2 linked regions of the Caenorhabditis elegans genome follow. The protein of the gene in region 1 interacts with the protein of each later gene in a pairwise test. Each region holds a gene or a part of one and is shown on either strand. Other genes may lie near its edges.

Region 1 (10,657 bases):
ATAAAGAGTGTGCAGAGCGGTGAGACGCAGTGAAAGACACTGTCCCGGAATGGAGTTGAGTACGTTTACGGTCAATGAGAATAGAGCTAGGCAAATGAACGTTTATAGTTAGAAGAAGTAGAAGAGGAGGGAGGATGATGATAAATAATTAGAACACTACATTTCTACAGTAATCCTTCAAAAGTTTCTTGCTTTTAAACTGCTTCGCTTGAGCAGTGTTTTCAGATCCAATTTTTGGGGCATTTTTCCTGTTATTACTAGTGTCAAATCGAAAATCACAAAGAGTATCAGCAGGTAATGTCAAAACAATTGTGTTGTTTCGTAGTTAAATGTACATCGGTTATGTGCCTTTTTCATCTAACTTATAGTTAGGATATAGTTGAATACATGTACAGATGAATGACGTGGTGCAAAGGTGAATATATTCAAATGTGCGGCGTCGCGTCGGAGACCCCACGCGCCTCTGCCCTCCATGGTGGGGCTGTGGGATGCCTGATGCAGATGCACATAGGAAACTGCCTGCTGCACACTATTTCGTTTTGGTATCGATTCATTGATACATACTTCTGATGCAGCCGCCAGCCATCGTGGAGGACGAGAGACGAGTCGTGCAACATGCCCTCAACACTGATATGATAACAGACACTCTTTCGTTATGTCGACGAATCGTTCTTCTCGTCGTTGATGATGACAACTTCGAGAAGAACACACATAGACTAACATCCATTGAGAGGGGGGTTCAGAGCTATTCGGAGATGGAGTAGGATTTTCTCGAAGCGGAGTTGGTGCGCTCCATTTGTCAAGTGTCTTTGTAGAGAATACACAGAAAAAGCACAGTGAGGAGGAAAGTGCCTCTCTCGCACGCGGGCGGAAGAGCAAGAGAGCCGGTGTATGTGCTCCATCTCTTCATTCCCGCGCGAGAAGCAAAGAGTCAACTTCTTCTCTCTTCTTCTCCCACCCCGCTTCTTCTCCTTCTTCTTATTCTTCTTGCAGCTAGTCAGTCAGTATCGAGGAGAGCAAAATAAACATTCCAACGTCTGTCCTCTTTTCATCGTCTTCGTCTTCTTCTTCAAAGATTCTCGGCCGATTGGGATTGACTGACTTGACGGGAAAGACGGGAACGTTGAGTGTACAGAAGGATAGCGGGAGGTCGCGCAACATACAGACACATACTGTTGGAGAAGTCAGTGAAGAAGAAGAAGACGAATGGAGAAGAAGGCGAGGACGATGGTGACGAGGAAGGGGAAGAGTAAAGGGAACAGAAAAAGAAAAAAGAGCGTCGATGGTAAGGACAGAAAAACCAGCAGAATATACGGAAAAGTGATACATATTGAGATGTGGATGAATGATGTGGTGAAGGTTGTCACCAAAATTTTTAGAAAAAAACAGGAGATAGATGAGTGGGTGGAAGTTATCGTGTATCTAAAATGGTGTCTTCTTTTGTTGACCGAAATTATTATTCAGACTACAAGAAATAAAAGTTGCATAACCACAATCCAACATTTTAATTTTGTGTCGAATTGGGGTATGTTGGAATGTTTATTATTATACCTTTCATTTCCAATTCTTCTTCTAGAAAAAATTTAGAAGTCATATCACCTTCTAGTTTTGCAATTGTTTGGTCTGATAAGTGATTTCTCATTTTGAGATGGGAATTACCTAGATAACTAGAGAGAACTATAACTGTATTTTGTACTTTTCGAATCATAACATACTTGAGAGCAAATAGCTACAAAAATAACATCTACAGTAGTAACATAATTGGATGGCGTATTTCTTTTAAAAAATCAGAATAGAAAGAAGACGTCAAAGTGGTGCGACGGCTCCCTGGTTTCCATGCCTCATTCTCACTAATCGCCTTCTATTCAAGGGATTCTCCTCGCCGCGAGAATTCATAGAATCATCCAAAGAGCTCACTTCTCACACGGCACCAAAACATGTTGTGATAAAGCTGATAAGATAGCGATTCAGATGACTATGAAAAGTGAGAAAGGAGGAGCTCTTCTTCTCTTCAAAATGGGGATTAGATGGGAGACCGGAGGAAACAGAAACGAAAAAGAAGACTCTGGACGACGATGACGAAGGAGAAGAAGAAGGAGACGCATCCCCCCGGAGACACTCACCCACACATGTCTTCTCTTTTCTTCCTCAAGATGCTCAACGCAGATTCTGGAGCGCCCTGGAGCACAAGAGAGGGCTCCAAAACGACCCGCTCTTCGTTTTTCCTCCACTCTTCCTCTTTGTTGACAACATTCTGGTGGTGTCTCCGGGCCAGCAGACAAAGAGACATTAAACTTGACGGAAAAGAGAGTCGGGTCTCTGAAGGATTCAAGGAGACTGACTAACAGAATGAAGAAGGAGACGACCACGATGTCAAATGATTCGGAAGATGTTGACAGACGACACGTGGCAAACAAGTGAACACTCGCACAAAAGTGTTAAAGGTAAACGGGGGAGGGAATATTGGAGCACAACCACCACTCGGCTGCTTTTGAGGCAGTTGAGGTAGTGGTTGCTCCTGCTGACAGTGACACATAAAGGTGAATAAACAGATGAAAGAGGCGAAGAGAAGAACGACGGCGGTGAGGTTTTTGGTAAAGTGAGGCGGTGATGATGGCGGAGTTGTGTGATTCCGACCGCAGCTCCGTCAAGCTCCCGAGTCCACTGGAAGCAAACAACGGCGGAGGTGCACGAGCTCACGGAGCTGTTCTCGCTTTACTCATTGGGATTGAGATAATAGAGACGATGGGCTATAGTGTTCTGTATATACTAAGACTCCTATGATATTTGTTAAGGGGTTAGAGTTGTGGAAAACTAGGTTTACAAACTTTATATCCAATTAAAGTACCTAAAATTATCAATAGACACAATTCTCTAAAACTGTGCCGTATGAACATTTTTGGAAAAATACAGTACCACTGAGAGTACTGTATGTTTCATTATGGAACTCGTTTAGAATCACTACAGAAAGAAAAACTGTGAAAGAGGTCACCACCATTTCCACAAGTCTTCATCTCCTTTTTCTTCATCTTTTTCCCTGTTAGAGGCCCGGTCTCCATCTTGACACAGACGTACATGTCTTCTCAATCTCAAGTCAAGATGGACGACGTCGCCGTCTTTGAAGACGACGAATGAAATGAATATGGAGAAGAAGAAGACCAGCACAAACACAGTGTGGTGCGGTGTACAGACACTCAGAACAAGAGACAGAGAGGTTATATGGAGAGTGAGGGTTGGGGCAGATAGTGCGTCTAACGGAGAGATGACGTACATTTAACTGGGTGCCTAAAGACAATACATATGTGTTTCTGGTGACCCGACCTAACATTGAAGCACACTTTTCAAAAAGGGCTTCTAAAAGGTCTGCTCTCCAGGAGACGTGACACGGATAAAGATGGAGTGTGGATCTCAGAGAATAGACGGAATAGAAGAAATGGGAGGAGAAGCTCAAAGTATTATGAGAAGATTATAGCTTCACTCCCTCAGCATTTGTGCCCCTTTTCTTGTGCTTCCTAGTTTTCAGAAGATACAAATAAACAAAAATTCAGAAGTGAAGCAGATTCGAGGAATGTTCTAATAAATTCTCTCTAGACTCAAAACGGAAAGAAGCCATCTGTCGATGTGGATTGAAATGGACGTCCTTGGACATTGACATCAAAAAATCAAAATGATGCGTGGCACACCGGTTTCGGCTCCGTGATGGTCATTGGTAGAAGAGGAGAGTATTTGATAAGCACGTCACTGCAAAGTATTTTCCCACTTCCGTCATTGGACGGCTTTCTCTTGGAAATTTCTGCAGAGCTTCCAGCTAGCTTCTGACCAAAATGGCAAATTGTAGTGGAAAAAATTTTTAGTTCATTTTATATAGTGGAAAACTATTTCCAGATATAAAATAATGCATGGTGGTACAACTTAACATGTACTAATTCAGGTTATAAAAGTTTAGATATTTTTGAAGTCAGTTTTTTATTTATTGTTTGAAATCTAGAAAGAGAAATCTACACTAAAACCCAAATTAACGCAATTACCAAACAATTACCAATTTATAGTGATAGGAACACAAAACGTATGAGGTCACCTGTAGTGTTTGCTCAAAACGAGAAAAATAAGTAGGAGAATTTATGTTGTCTCTGTTATCACAGCCACTCTCCAGGTTATTCAGGATGATATGGGAGGTAGATAAGAGAAAAAGAGAATGAAGAGAAGAACAGATAGAAGCACAATTCTAGTGACGTGGAATTCTTTATTCCTCCCTCTATTGGATCAAGCTCAATTCAATATTTCATCTGTCGTTCTCCAGTAGCGTTTTGCCCACCAGAAAAATAATTCTACAAGAGAAAAAAAAAGATGAAACACCGCTTTATCAGAAGTGTTGTCGAGAAAAAACGAAGCATGAACGATGAAGATTGGGAGAAAGAAGAAAATAAGTGGTGAGAAGCCTGACGTGGAGGCAATACCGGCGCGGAAAAAGAGAAGAATTTCATGGACTGATTGATTGGAGTTTGGGAATATGGTAGTGTCATCGATAGAAATAGGTTGGTCTAATGAAATATTGAAGAGGAGAAAAACGTTTCGAACTTTTTGGTAAATTTGAGCTACTACATACGAAAGCTATTGAAATCTCAAAAAATAATTGTAAAGTTTAGTCCTTGGCTGGAATTGGAGGGTTATAAAATTGCTCGTTTAAAACTTCAATTCAATCGTATTGGTCAGATTTCTCGAAGTTATTCGTATAATATTTAACATGCCAAAATTCGTACCATTGTTTTCGGAAATTGAGAATTTCTAATTCAAACTAGAAATTTTCAAAGCAGAAACTGAGTTTCTGTGTGATCTCAACATACAAATGTTCTTAGAAGCTCACACGACAAAGTCTAAAAAGTGTAGGATTCTTTGAAAAGAGGACATGCTCCTTTACATGCTCAAACGGCTCTCAGGAGCTCAGGTGACTGAGAAGAAGATTTTGTGAAAGGCGGAGCACTTCTTCTCTTCATCTTCTACTGAGATGATGAAGATGAAGAAGAAGAAGCTTTCTGGTTGCTATGCGGAATAAAGAAACACAGAGAGAAGCGCTCTTCTCATACACACATCTCCTCCAGAAAGCGTCCGTTCTTGACTTGACCGACATGAAGATGAAGAAGGAGAGTCAGTCGGTTTACAACACAAAACTTGAGAAGAAGATGAAGATGAGTGGAGACGCAGGACCACGGGCTCCTGAGCCGGGAGGAGTTGGGCTCTCAGGTTGAAGATGAAGCGGATGCGGAAGTTGAGATGACACTCTTGTATAAATTCTTGTCAGCAGAGTTTAGACTACTATAGTTTGTAGTGTTAGGCACAAAAGGGAACGATGATATCAGAAGGAAAATTTACTCTTATAACACGGTTATAACTTATATTTGGGAATCAAAAATTCCTTGGACGTCCAAATTGTTTATAAGATAACTATCATTAGCGACTCTAAGATTGAAGTTTTGTTTGAACTGTTTGAAGATTGAAATATTCAAAATGTAAGCGTTCATGTAAACTTTAAAAATGGCAGAAGGTATTTCTCACAGAATGGCTTCACCATCGTTCAACAAAAAAACTGAAAGCCGAGCTCTTTCACTTTAGCTCACTTTCGTCCATTCCAGGAAAGATGGCCTTCTTCTTCCATCTCGACGACCACCAAAACGATGACTTCATTCCCCCTATTTCCATCTCCTCACCACTAAATGACGAGTGTGTAGTTGAGAAGGCGAAAAAGAGCTCCAGAATTCGAAAAGCCCTCCTCTCCTCCGCTTCTTTTTTTTTCGTTTTCGTCCCGTCTTCCAACAAGCCATCTTCGTCTTCTTCTTCTCTAATTTATTCACTCTCGGCCACAGGGGGTTCCGAGAAGATGTCACCACCGACAACATCAGAAAAATATTTTTAAGGGTCATGTCACGAATTGGTCCGTTTATTAGAAGCACTGCTTTTCAGGTTTCTTCAGAAGAATTCATGATAAAGACAGAGGACATTTTGGCCTTCCCCTTGGCCATTCATCCACTATTCATCCCTGATTACTCATTCATCCGTATTTTCCAAGTGTGTCCGCTCTCCTTTTCAGCTTCCTCTCTCCAGAATCCTCTCCAGTCGCTATGACGACGATGAGGAAGAGCAACAGGATACAAGAAGCAAATGTGGAGGATGGCACACGACGAGAAGAGAGTCATGTAAGGATTTATTAAAGAGGTGGTGGTGTTGGTGGCTACTGGTGAAAAGAGGAAAAAGAAAAGGGAAGCACGTCCAAAATGTACAAACAAGAAGAGTTGGAAAACGAGGGGTGAACAATATAGAGAAGGGATTTTACAAAGCGAATGTAGTTTACAGATTCATTGTTGTTGAATTCAGGGCATCCCGCATGGCAGACATTGTCACATCATCATAAGTGCAACAGATTTTGGCTTTGCCATTTTTGGTTCGGTGACAGATTTGGTTTATTCCACGACAATTGTCATCTGTGCATTGCTCTCCGGTCTCAACATAATCCTTTGGACATCCTGAAGTAATAATTCAATAAAAATGAAGATCTCTAAAAATTTAGACATTGGTAGAACAATTTATGGATTTACAGAAAAATCCCAAAAATATGTCATTAGTTTTCTGCTTTCTATGATTATAGTTTGTAATTTGATAAGGGTGTTGTGGCAGCAGAATTATAAAATAACTCTAATTATTGTTTGCACTTTTGCAAAGCTAGTTAATCTTGTGATAACTGAAACAGATATTCATATACTGATTTCAAGAAGGAATGCATTGAACAATTTTTCAAAATAAAATTTCCTTGGAAGTCACTTACTGTTAGTTCCCTTGCAGCAAACATGGGTATTTGGATCACACATATGACCCATACTACAATCACTGGATCTCTCACAACGAATTAATTGCCCTGACTTGTCTACTGATGGTTCTCCTCTTAGGCCAATTGAGCACATAATTCTTTTGCACTGTCCGTCAGCATAACTGAAACCTGCTGGACACGAACAAATACTTCTGGCACATTCCATTTTTGCAACTTCAGCGTACTCTTCGGCGGCGTCGGGACTCTTTGAGTAGACGCATTGCGACGAAATGTGACAGCTGTCTCCATAGTACGCCATTGAAAAGCACTGGCCTTCGTGGTAGATGTCTTCGAGTGAAACACAAGGCTTTGGACAGCAAATCTGAAATTTTAGATATTCTTTCAAAGGGGTTTGAGATTTTGAAAACCATACAGATTTCTCGGTGGCTACAGAATCCCTATGACAGTAATAATCTACGGGACATTTGTTACATCCATAGTCTGGAGGATATGACGATTCATGTGGTTCTCCCACAGGGCATGTTGGGCGAATTTCGGATGGAGACGGACAACAAAATCCCTTATAATAACCGGGTTTACTTGCATCATCGAACACAGGAACACAATAATGCTCATCTGGACAATCATCTCTTTCATTTCCAAAATCCAAAAGAGTTCCATTTTGAATTCCTTTCATTAGACGTTCAAATTCGGCATCGTTAATATCACTTCCATTTTCTGACTTTTTCAGGCTTCTGAAACTGGTGGAGACACTCGAAAGAAGAGAGTTTTTGAGAGAGCATGTGATAAGCTTTTCATCTCGTTTTAGGGGAGCTGCTTTGTTGACACATCGGTACTCTGCAATTTTCTGAGATGAACTAGTTTCAATGAAGTTTGATTGATATCTAATTGATAAAAACATTTGTGCTGAAAAAAACTCACCAAGGGGTTCACAACCTCCATCACCATTTCTCTTGAAACCTCTCTTACATCTACATCCTCCTGAAGAGCATTCTGAAAATGCAGCAGAGCATTCCATATCAGTCTTACACTTTTCTTTCAGACGTCTTCTAACTCTTTGACAAGTTTTTCCATCGGAAGCAAGTGTGTATCCAAAGTCTGTGGCACACTCACACATACAATTTCCACGGGCTCCACAGATACAAGCTGCTCCACCAGAACATCCAGATTGTGGAGAGCACACTTGTCCTCGCCACGGACGTTCATTTTCAATGATTGCTGGTGCACGGGTAACGACGACTGGGGGCTCAACATCTACACCTGGGACGCAGCAGAATCCAGTTGTAGTCTCACAGAAACCATTCTCAGGGCATGGCATTACTCTTCCTTGTTTGAATTGGCACATAATAGGTTTGCCAGTTATGAAGTTAACCATGGTTTTCTTAGTTTTTGGACAGGTTGGTAGTTCTGAAGAATGTAAATTTTACCGGTTAATTTGATAATGAGGATCCTCATTTAATTTTTCAAAATGAATAACCATGTCCTGAAATATTTACGTTTTATTGAAAACGTGGTCCCTTTTTTTTCCAACGAGAATTTTATAATCAATACGATTTCTTACTTGTACAACAAACTCCATGCACTGGATTACAGATGTGAGTTGATGGGCAGTCTTCAGTCAAATCGCAGATTGTCAGAGTTCCAGTAGGAGAGAGGACAAGTGCACCTCCTCCTGGACAAAAATCTTCCGATGTTCCTCCCAATGCCGATTTCGGGACAAGTGACTTGAAGCATCCGGATTTCTGTCGTCCGTTAACATTGCCAGGGCGACACTCTTCACCCTAGAATACGTTTAAATGAATCTCCGCGCATTTTAATACTTAGAAGTTAAAAAAAAACGATACCTCGTCACATTGTAAATCATTGGAACACGAATCTTTCCTACAAGCGCCTTCTTGACAGAAGAATCCTCTACCACATTGCATTGAATGAGTACATCCTCTTCCAGACGCTGTTCTAGCGCTGACAACTCCAATGAGAAATAACAAAATTGACAGGATGACTAGCCGACGGGATCGCATTGCTACTGACTGAAACTAAAATCTCCAGCTATATCCGATCTGCCCCAAAGGACCGCCCTTTGAATGTTGGCACACCTGTTGGTTGATTCAGCCGCATGCTCAACTGACCGTTATATTTGGTCACTGTCTTCAATCGTGTCAACAACATGTACATTTTTATGTATATCATCCAGCATCAATGAGAACGCGTGCAGCTAAAATTGGAAACATTGCATACAAATGGGCATGGTTGTAAGGGGAAATGGAAATGTTTAAAAATAAAATAGTGAAGAACAGTAATGTACAAAGACTCGAATTATTAGGCAATCACACATCCACTGGAATTGCTGGGATCCTTTTCTGTTTGGTAGATTTTCTCCTCGTGAACTGGATCAAGCTTTGACTTGCTCTGAAATTAGTGATTACAACAGTTTAAATGCTTTATTCTTTTTAATAAATGCATTTTTTAAGTCGAATGTTTTAAGGAAGAAATTTAAAGGAGTTTTAGTATGACAAATTCGAATGTTTCCTAGATTTTTTGGAAATGAAAAATGAAAAAAAATTTCCTTGTAAATGTGTTAACATTTGATAAATCCGTATACTGTTCAAATTATCTGTTGTTTTTTTTAGATCAAACTAACGGAAATTGCATGTTTTCGCTTTTTTTGAACGGATTTTATTGTCAAAATTGTATTTTTGGTAAACGCTCAATTTTTGAATTTGCTGTTTTTGAATTTATATCCAATTTTTACTTTAGAAGGCAAGAACGGAAATAAAAATTGAGCGTTTCAAATTGAAACACGTTTTTCCAGAACTCAAAATATTTGTTATGTAATTAGTTTAATTTAGTTTTTAAAAAATCGACGCGCCTACCTTTTTAATTTTTGAAAAATCTGGCATATTTGCTTTGGACAAATCAAAAGCGGAATAAACTGCCGTATTCCATGATTCCGCTGGTGGAGGATAGGTAAACGAATCAAGTTTAGCCAATCCATATGTTGCTTCTACATCCAATTGAGGAATCTCATCTGGAACTTTTTGATGATAGATGAATCCATTTTCTCGCTCCGCTTTTTCCAAATGTCGATTGAGCAATGGCTCGATTCTTCTGAAGAACAAGTGTTGCTCAGGCTTGATACGAGTTCCAGGACCAGTTGCAGTTGCATACATTGCTGCCATTTCTTTAGCAACTCCATACTCAGCAATTCCTTGCTTACAAGCTCTCACAGCTTCTCCACATTTATCCTCTGATAGTTGTTTCTGTCCGAGGAAGGCAAAAGCATACGCCAAATAGAAATGATGCTTCAATTGCAGATATCTTCTCCATCTCGCAAAACTCTCATCAGGCAAATTATTCAGGCATTGATCAGCTTTTGAGAATATCGATGCAGTTACAGCAGCAAGCGATGAGATTAATCCATCATCATGTTTCATTTCAATAGCTCTAGCTACAATGACCTCTTGTGCTTCTGCTGTGGCAGTCAAAATATACGTTTCCATAACTTTCGGATCAAAATCTGAGCCTTCAACTTCATTGGCACCGGAAAGTCGTGATGATTCATCTTTCACATATTGGAACATTCCACCTGCTTGTCTCAAACACTGAAGACATTCCTTTGCATCAGATTCTCGTACCTCATCCTTTCCAGCCATCGACGCAGCATGCTTTGTGAGCCACATTGCCATACATTGAATCATACTGAGAGCTTCAAACCAAGTATCCGAAACTTCTGTGGCGGCTTGTGGAAGCATTGAGTTACCCCATTTGAAGCGGATCAGTGGAATTAGTTTGCTGTTTTTGTTGCCTGCGTCCTTGTTTTCCCTGATAAAGAGCGTA
Region 2 (10,233 bases), 7.6 Mb from region 1:
AGACCATGGAAGAAGCAGGACCCTCAATCACCGTAACATCGGCTACGAACTGCTTGTCCTTTGCCATCGGAATCGCAACCCCGACTCCTGCAATTTCACTCTTCTGCCTATACACCTGTGTGGCGGTTGCTGTGGATTTTGTATATCAGCTAACATTTTTTGTGGCAGTTCTAGTTTATGAGGAGAAACGTCTGATGAAGCTTCAGAAGGTCGGAGAGGAGAAGAAAATCGAAGCGGCTATGGAGCGCAGGCCGAAGCAAGTGTTATCAATACAGAATTCTATTCGATCAACTGCCGGCGCCCATCCACCACCTGCAAACCCAAATGGGATAGTCAGCAGGTACTGCAGGTTTTTGAAGGACTGGAAGACCCGTTTGTGCTTACTCCTGGTGCTCTGTGGCTATTGGACAGCTTCTTACTACGGGTGTAAAACTATGGAAATCAAAATGGACACTACTAATCTTATCATGAATGATTCCCCGTTAAACCATATCGCATGGATCTACGAACGGTTCTTGTGGAGTGAAGGGCAATTGGTCATGGTTTTTGTGAATAATCCTCCTGATTTAACAAAATCAGAGAATCTACATGAAGTCCTAGAACTTGTAAATCGATTCGAAACGCTTCCATATTCCATGGGCAAGAACTCAACCTCAATTTGGCTACGCTCATTCTTATATCAAAGCTCTCTATACCACAACAACAAAGGATTCAATGGGCTTTTGCAAGAATGGCTTGAAGACTCGGAAGGAGGCGGTGCCAGATGGAATGATATGTTGAGGTTGAAGAAGGACGAAAATGGTACCATACTTGGAATTGATAAGTTCATGTTTGCAACTGCTTGCGCGATGGGCGACGATGCAAATTGGTCGACTCGTGAGAAATTACAAAAGCAGTGGAGAGGCGTAGCACATGAATATGAGCATTTTAACGTTACAGTTTTCCAGGTTAGTGATTTACGAAAAATTAGGGCTGTTATGGGTTTATTCGTGCCTTTTAGAAAAATGCAAAATGTATTGTGATACATTTTCTCCCTATTCATGAGTGTCGAAAAAAAAACACATCCATTTATTCCATTTTTAGACACTTTTCGACATTTTTCTTCATTTTCGACCTTTTTTACATTTTTCAAAAACGCCCACGCGCGTCTGGTTTCCCTCATATTTAAAAATGTAAGAGTTTGCCGAATTAGGCCATTTTTTCTCGGCCACGACTGGGTTAGATTTACGGCGCGTTGCATGTTGCGTCGCGGCCCGGTTTTTATTGGAAAACTAAATCTATTTGTCCGTGTGGAGTACACGACTTTCCCATGTCCGGCAGGCGATTGTCAATGGAGCGCGAAAAGCGCAACGAGGGAGGCCAGAACCCCATGTGCATTTCTCAACATTTTTCTGCATTTTTCGACATCAGCCGGCAGCCCACTTCACAAATGCAAAAAAATTATATAAAAAAACAACATTTTTTCGGCACTTATGAATAGGGGGAAAATTTATATAAATGCATTTTTGAGTTTTTCTAAATCGCATGAATAACCCCATCCCTAACAAAAAATACCTGAAATACCAGTAAAAGAGCTGCATTTTTTCGTTCAGAGCTACTCTTTCTACATTGACCAACTTGACTCAATCGGCGCGACGACCATGTCTACAGTAATCTGGGCTGCAATTACAATGGATCTTGCATGCCTTCTCATGATCCCTGGCATCAACTCAATCCTAACAAGTACCATTGCAATGATATCCATCAATATTGGAGTCTTCGGTCTTTTGTCAATGTGGAGAGTGAATTTGGATCCGATCACGATGTGCACCACATTAATGTCTATCGGATTCTCGGTGGACTTTACAGCGCACATCTCCTATCACTACTACCGGAACCCCACCAGTTGGACCACTGATGAGCGCCTTGCCGATGCACTGAAATCTATCGGATGGCCAATGATTCAGGCCGCAAGCTCGACAGTGTTATGCATTTTCCCATTGATGTTCAACACGAGTTATATGGTTTGGGTGTTTGTGAAAACGATTCTTCTGGTTACTGTACTTGGGTTGCTTCATGGAATTATATTTTTGCCGGCGTTATTGCTTACCGTAAGTTATTGCCTGAAAAAATTTTAGGGCGTCCTGTAACCTATAGAGGTAGGTCGCAAGTCGACTTACGCGCACGTCGAGTAAGAAAGTCCCATTTCGCTTTGATCTACGAAAAATGCGGGAGAAGAGACGCAGACATCTCATCTGGTTTCGCATGGTTAAGAGTGTGCTGACGTCACATTTTTTGTAGATCAAACCGCGATGAGACTTTCTGACACCACGTGTGTGCGGCAAATCTAAAAATTTGCCGAACACGTCTGCTATCAAAGAATGTTCAACTGACACTATGGTTTTGCGTGTTTGAATTATTCACAGAAGATGTGGCAAAAAATAAAGCGGCCGACATCTTGTGAGTTCAGATTTTTTGGAACAAAATTATTAGTTTTAGTAAAAATTGAATTGTCCATTTTTTGCCGAATTCGGCAAACGGCAAAATCGGCAAATTTGCCAAACACTATATTGGATTTTTATCAAATTTCGATTAATCATCTGGTTATTGAGTTAGTGTATTCAGGGGTTGGTGACAATTGTCGTTCGTCAATTTTTTTGTCGACTAATTCGGCAAATCAGCAAATTGCCGATTTGCCAATTTTCCAACAATTTGCCGATTTGCCGTTTGCCGAACATAAACTTGCCGGAAGTTTTTAGAGAGAATTTATATAAGACGGCAACACCTGAAACTATGCCTATTTGCCGGTTTGTCGAATCGCCGGAAGTTTCAATTCCGGCAACTTACCGACTTGCCGACTTGCCGGAAAAAGGCGATTGCTCACCTCTGGCCCATTAGTTCCAATCGTCCAGAATGGACTCACAAGATTCCTGGCGCTTTATTTTTGTCGTGATTTTTTTTAATTAGTTAAACATATTTTGATAGCATTTCTGGTTTTTGAGTTATCTATAATCTTTTGAAAAATTTGAGAAATTATCAAAAAACTCTCGATTGAAATTTACTCGAATAACTGATTTGAATCGAGATATCAACTGTCAGACTATAACCTTTTTTTTCAGTCTGGCGACTTATCTCGTTTATTTGGTGGCGACTCAATACAGCCGGAAAAACCTGAAAAACTCGGAGAAATTTCACAGGCTTCCAGTTTTTCAAGTGGAAACAGTGAGACAGCTCTAGTCAAAAGTAAGAGTCAAAAGTAATACATGAATTCGATTTAAAAATTACAATTTTTACAGGCAACTCAACAGAACTGAGAACCTTACCACAGGAACGGGGATCCGGTTAATATGTGCCAAAAAAAATTGTGATCCAAAATTGTAATTTATTAGTGTTGTTTTTTTTCTCCACATTGTTTTCCTATCAAGTCTCAACTACGGGTGCTCGACTTCATTGACGTCTGTCTCATTCCCAGTTTTCTTTTGTGATAAATTAGTTAAAAAGAATTTGCAAATCAGTTGTCATTGCAGAAAAAACTAAAAATTTTCTGAATAAAAACTCACAAAAAATCAATCTTCAGGTGACTTACTGATGAAAATAAAATTTGTTGAAGATTTGTCTTTAAAGGTTGACTAGCGTCACGTGGTGTCAAAGTGTCCCATTTTAGTTTGATCTACGAAAAATGCGGGAGAAGAGACGGAGATTTTTCAACTGATTTCGCATGGTTGAGAGTATGCTGACGTCACATTTTCCTGGGCAAAAAATCCCGCATTTTTGTAGATCAAACCCTGATGGGACAGCCTGACGCCATGGGTAGCGTTTGCGCTAATTTTGCCCTAAATGGTCGAAAAACAGTCTTAATATATCAATTAAAACTATGAAAAAAATTTACAAAAAATTTCTAATTTTTTCATGATTTTATAAATTTTGAAAAAAAGAGCTGAATTATTTTTGAATTCCCGCACAAATGAATGACGTCATTTTTGGCATTTTTGCATTTTTGGGCAATAAATTTGATTTTTTCAATATTTTTCAAAAATTTTTCAATATTTTTTACAATGTTTTTCAGACATTTTTCGGCGCAGCAAATGAAAAAAATTTGCTGAAACTCCAAAATTGGCCTAAAATCAATAATTTAGCATTAAAAAAACGTGTTTTTTTGGGAAAAATGTCTGAAAATTTTGACAAATTATGCGTCAAATTATGAAACAAAGAAAAAGTAAAGAAAAAGCAGTCAATATTCCCAAAAAGTGTCAAAAAATGACGTCATTCACTTGCGCGGGAATTCAAAAAAAAAATTATATTTCCTGTTCGAATTTTAAAAAAATCATTAAAAATTTAAAAAATTTTTATACATTTTTTGACAGTTATATTTGTTATATTGAGACTGTATTCTATCATTTAGAATTTAAAAAAAACCCACCTGTGCAACTCCAATTTTAAGGTAAGCGGGGATAAAGTTGGCTTGACAACATTTTTTGGAAATTTAATTTTCTTAAAGTTTGCTGATCAAATCAAATATCAGCCTTTCAAAAACATTTCATTCGGAAATTTGATTATTTGATTTTTCAGGTAGAATTCACGGATTTTCGGCTTCCCTCATAAATTGAAATGGAAGAAATTGCCGAACTAGGCCATTTTGGCTCGGCCATATCTTGGGTAGATTTACGGCGCGTTGCGTGTCGCGGCTCGATTTTAGTTGTGAAACTAAATGCATTTGTCCGTGTGGAGTACAGGAATTCCCACGCGTTGGCGATTGTCAATGGAGCGCAAAAAATTCAACGAGGAAGGCCAGAACCCCGTGTAGAATTTTTTTTAACACCACTGAACATTCAAGTATCAAGAACTTTGTTCATCTCCTACAGTGTTAGTTTGTGGTTCGAGGAATCAAACGACCATTTAAACTACTTGCGTAATCCGGTTCGATTGAAAATTTGATAAAAGAGCACAAGTTAAGCGGTATCATTCATATCAACGACTTTTTTATAGGTTGTGTGATATTTGAAACGGAATTGGTGATAAGAAAACGGAAAGTTAATAAAGAGAAATCGAATAGCAGAGTATCGTCATTTTCCCACCTTTTCTCCCAGTAATCATGTTTTAAATGTTAATTCGAAATTTGCGGCAAATTAAGTTTCGAAGTGACGTCACACAGGCTTCACTTCGGTGACGTCACGTGTTTCTGAATAAGATGTGTCACGTTTTAAAACGATTTTCCAACTTCCATCTCATTTGTTAACTTTAAATTATTCTTTCAGTATGCAAGCCTTACTGCTTGCTGCAGTCCTTCTGCCACTGGCTTCGGCCTTTGTGCTACCAGAAGCCCCAAAAAATCCAGAGAACCTCGACGTCTATACCATCCCATACAACGACGCCACTGCTCGCAAGAAGATTCTCTTCGCAGCCGGCGCCGCCTACGGATCGAATCCACAACAGTGCCTCGACAAAGCGTTCACCGGTGCCTCAATCAGGAGAATCATTACGGCTCGCTGTGACGTCAACCCAGCCGACAAATGCGTCGGATACACCGCCGTCAGTCCACAGGACAAGGCGATTATTGTGGTGTTCCGTGGAACTAACAACAATGTGCAGCTTATTTTGGAAGGATTGGAGACTGTCTTCGAGTATCACGTAAGATTAAAATTTCGAGTACTCCGGAATAAATGAAGCATGTTTCAGACTCCATGGGCTGCTGGAGGTGTCGTCTCCCAGTACTTCAACGACGGATTTTTGAACATCTGGAACGCCGGACTCAAGGACGATTTTAACACTCTTGCCGCCCAAAACCCAGGATTCCAAGTTTGGGTAAGAATTCGTAAAAACTGATAAGAAAATGATTATTGATGGGGTTAAAGTAGACTGTGCTCCCGTGTTGTTGACAGCTATCGTAGTCTAGCAAAATATACTTTGCGAGTTCATGAAGCAAGTGGTTGTTGCATTTCTACAGTGTATTCCTACACTTGTGATATAAGTGAGTATACCCCCCAGGAAGACGCAGACGACATGAGCTGGGTTGGTTGAGATCTCGATCGAAGTCGGCTGCACGTGGTCCCAGGCTGTCTCATTAGGGTTTGATCTACAAAAAATGCGGGAAATTTTCGCCCAGAAAAATGTGACATCGACACGTTCTTAACCATTCGAAATCAGTTGAGAACTCTGCGTCTCTTCTCCCGCATTTTCTGTAGATCTACGTAGAACAAGCCGATATGAGACACTCTGACACCACGTGGGCTGCAGTGCAGCTACACAGTACGTCGCGCAAGCCTTGATGCCTGATAGGTGTAACAATAATGCTTCGTTAAATTTTTTTTTAAAATAAAATAAGAAGTCCAGATCAGAAACGCGGGAATGTCAGTGGTCAACCTCGAACCACAAAAATGTTATAGAAACTTAAAACCCATTCCACGTGGTGTCAGGCTGTCTCATTGCGCTTTGATCTACAAAAAATGCGGGAATTTTTCCCAGAAAAATTGTGACATCAGCACGCTCTTGAACATGCGGAATCCGATGAGATGTTTGCGTCTCCTCTCCCGCATTTTTTGAAGATCAAAGCAAAATGGGACTTTCTGACTCCACGTGTCATTCTTGTTGGCGCATGAGCAGGACCCAACCAGTGGATAAAAGATCCTTGTGGATCCATGTGATGATCCCGTGGTGACAATGGTTTCTTGAAAGTAGTCCTATCATTTCCCGGAATACTGTTTAGTGTAGCACCCAAGGTGGTCCACATAAGAAAACGCGGTCTCGAACATTGTCCGTTGCAAATTTATTTTCGTCTCCCAAGGCTCAAAATCATGGGATTCTGGCCTTCCTCATTGAATTTTTCGCGCTCCATTGACAACCGCCCGCCGGACAACGCGTGGGAAAGTCGTGTACTTACAAAACTTCAGGTCACCGGACACTCCCTCGGAGGAGCGATGGCCTCCCTTGCCGCCTCCTACATCACCTACAACAAGCTCTTCGACGCCTCGAAGCTTCAACTCGTCACCTACGGACAGCCACGTGTCGGAGACAAGGCCTACGCGGCCGCCGTCGATCGTGACGTCACGAACAAGTTCCGCGTCACCCACGCCCACGACCCGGTGCCACATCTTCCAAAGGAGAACATGCAAGGATTCACCCACCACAAGGCCGAGGTGTTCTACAAGGAGAAAATGACGAAGTACAACATTTGCGATGATATCGATGAGAGCGAATTCTGCTCCAACGGACAAGTTCTTCCAGACACTTCTATCAAGGTATAAATCGTCCAAAGTTCTTTACTTCACCAATACTTTTATTTTTTTAGGATCATCTTCACTACTTCGACGTTGATGTCAGCGACTTGGGCTACTCAAATTGTGCTAATGTCAAGAACTAACTTTTCAATGTTTTAAACAATAAAATAGTTCACAACTGATTCAGTGGTTCAGAGTTGAAGTGGTGGGCCTGCCTACGCGCCTGCCTCCCATATGTTCGCAGAGGTCCGCACCAGGAATGTGCGGCAAATTTGCCGAATTTACCGAATTCGCCGAGCTCGGCAAATTTCAAAACAGTAGATTTGCCGAATTTGCCGAGCACGATAAATTTCGAAATTTTCCGCACACATCAAAAATTTTTTAACAATACAATTTTGGCCAAAACTATTGATTTTGTCCCCAAAAATTTAGTAAAATGGCATAAAATTGAGTTGTTATTTTGATGCTTAAGCAGACACACTACACGGAAGTTATTCAGACACCAGATTTTTATTCAGAATTCAGTAGTTTCGGTGCTCCAAAAAACATCAAAAAATATCAAATTTTCGGAGTTAATTAAGCACGGCAAATTTGCCGAATTTGCCGTGCTCGGCAAATATTGGAAGAAGAGATTTGCAAAATTTGGCGAGCACGGCAAGTTTTGAGATTTGCCGCACACCCCTTTTCCGTACAGGTTTGAGGCAGGCGTCGGAGCATAAATAGCTAGTAATTCCCTTGATAACAAATGTGACAGCAATCTGAAGATGACGTGATGTTCGTCATATTTCCAAGCAAAGTTAAATGACAAATTGCCTCGGAGCAACAGTAATCCCAAAATCAAACAACAAAGTCACACTTGCAACCAGAACTTTTTTCACTTTTCACAGAGCTATTTAAGTTTGCAAATTTTCAATTACAATTGTATTTAATGTATTTGACATTCAAAATGCTTTTTATTTTCTCCGTTTTAATTTGCAAATCATTCTCCCACAGTTCAATACCATATTCCGATCAGCTCTCTCGGAATAAACTGATCTATGCAGCCATCTCCGCGTACGCTTCTCCTCCACAAAGTTGCATGAGCTTGGCGTTTCAAAATTTTCAAGTCAAACCTCAGATTACTGTAGCTTGCGACACACTTGATGATACATGTTCTGGATTTACTGGAGTCGATCACGAAAGTCAGGCGATTTTGGTAGCTTTTCGTGGAACTAATCGTAACGCACAGCTGCTCGTTGAAGCCGTAGAAACTGTGTTTGCAAACAATGTAAGTTAGTTTATGCAAAAGCTCTGTCTAGGTCAAATTTTCAGAAATCCTGGGTTTCCGGTGGGCACGTCTCCGAATACTTCAGCGATGCGTTTTTCAAAATATGGACTTCTGGAATGAAAGATGACGTCATCAGTCTGATGTCTAGATACCCAAGTTATCAAGTTTGGGTTCGTTAGCCTCGCACGTTCGATTTCCGAGAATAACGGGAAATTTACACCTGGGGAGTGCGGCAAATTTTCCAAATTTGCCGGACACTCCTGATAAACACGCAAGAGTTCTACTAGCGTCTCAAAGCGAATTTCGTATTCCGACTTCCGCATTTCTTGGAGATCAATAAACATGCTGTCCCATTACAGTTTGATCTGCCAAAAATGCGGGAATTTTTTGCCCAAAAATATGTGACGTCAGCACGTTCTTAACCATGTGATTCAGTTGAGAAATCTGCGTCTGAATTCCCGCAATTTTTGTAGATCAGCGTAGATCAAGCCGAAATGGGACAGCCTGACATCTCATGAGTACACAGGCCCATTACAATTTGATCTACTAAAAATGCGGGAATTTCTTCCACAGAAAATGTGACGTCACTACGTTCTTAACCATGCGAAATCAGTTGAGAACTGTGCGTCTCTTCTCCCGCACTTTTTGTAGATCAACGTAGATCAAACCGAGATGGGACAGCCTGACGCTGACAATTTTCAGGTCACCGGCCACTCTCTTGGTGGAGCTCTAGCCTCCCTTGCTGCCACATATCTCCGATATACCAGTCTCGTATCGGCTGATCAGCTTCTCCTCGTCACATTCGGCCAACCACGTACCGGGAACATGGACTTCGCGACCAGCGTTGACAACCTGGTCCCAAATGCGTATCGTGTCACACATTCTCATGATCCCGTACCACACTTGCCTGGACAAGGCCATCACGGCTACTTTCACCATAAGTCGGAAGTTTATTATAACAAGAACATGGGTGGTTGGGAGATTTGTGAAAAGGACGAATCGGAGAAATGTTCGAATGGAAATCTTGTTGACTTGGATTTTGAGGTGTGTCTTTTTTTTTTCGTTTGATCATATATATTGATTTCGTGATTTTTTTCTTAAACGGCAAACAATCTTTTCCGGCAAATCGGCAAGTTGCCGGAATTGAAAATTTTCGGCAAAATGGGCAAACCGGCTCTTTGCAGGAATTGAAAATTTCCGGCAAATCAGCAATTTTCCGGAATTGAATATTTCCGACAAATCGGCAAACCACCAAATTTGCCGGAATTCAAAACATCCGGCAAATCGACAAATTGGCAAACCGGCGATTTGCAGGAATTGGAAATTTCCGGCAAACCGGCAAATTGCCGGAATCGTAAATTTCCGGCAAATCAGCAATTTGCCGAAAATGAAAATTTCCGGCAAATTGCCAAATTGCCCGAATTTGCCGAATTTTTTTTCTCGCGGCGAGACCCATACAAATAGGATCCCGTTTTCGTAATTTTTAACCGCTATTTTCAGGACCATTTCCACTATTTCAACTTGGATATATTGAAACTCGGATTCTCAAATTGTCTCAATACAACGCCATCGGGAATACAATAAATGTTTTATTCATTTTACAAATTACGCGAAAATTACACAATTTCAACAGTAATAATCCAAAATATCGACAAAATCACTTACATAGCACCTCGACAAAACCGTAAAATCACATACACATACTTTCTTAACTTCTTTCACTTCATCGGCAGTGTACAGCTCATCACCAATCGACTTATAGAGGGAGGCTGA

Evidence for each region.
Region 2: the proteins of B0507.1 (region 1) and T21H3.1 interact in a two-hybrid assay, tested with the Caenorhabditis elegans proteins (one large-scale study listed by BioGRID).

What each region holds. Positions count from the first base shown.
Region 1 is NC_003283.11:8,774,844-8,785,500, reverse strand, and holds B0507.1 (EB domain-containing protein), read right to left. Parts: upstream 8,932-10,657; 5' UTR 8,917-8,931; exon of another isoform or gene 8,871-8,916; intron 8,857-8,870; 5' UTR 8,842-8,856; coding exon 8,665-8,841; intron 8,602-8,664; coding exon 8,382-8,601; intron 8,228-8,381; coding exon 7,742-8,227; intron 7,658-7,741; coding exon 7,233-7,657; intron 7,182-7,232; coding exon 6,818-7,181; intron 6,519-6,817; coding exon 6,343-6,518; 3' UTR 6,183-6,342; downstream 1-6,182. Other genes in the region: B0507.2 (BRO1 domain-containing protein BROX homolog), read right to left, coding at 9,140-9,229, 9,694-10,642.
Region 2 is NC_003283.11:1,171,490-1,181,722, forward strand, and holds T21H3.1 (Fungal lipase-type domain-containing protein), read left to right. Parts: upstream 1-5,234; 5' UTR 5,235-5,235; coding exon 5,236-5,607; intron 5,608-5,655; coding exon 5,656-5,781; intron 5,782-6,866; coding exon 6,867-7,214; intron 7,215-7,264; coding exon 7,265-7,336; 3' UTR 7,337-7,375; downstream 7,376-10,233. Other genes in the region: ptr-16 (SSD domain-containing protein), read left to right, coding at 1-947, 1,593-2,090, 3,099-3,222, 3,276-3,325; F25A2.1 (Fungal lipase-type domain-containing protein), read left to right, coding at 8,140-8,460, 8,505-8,630, 9,163-9,504, 9,961-10,044.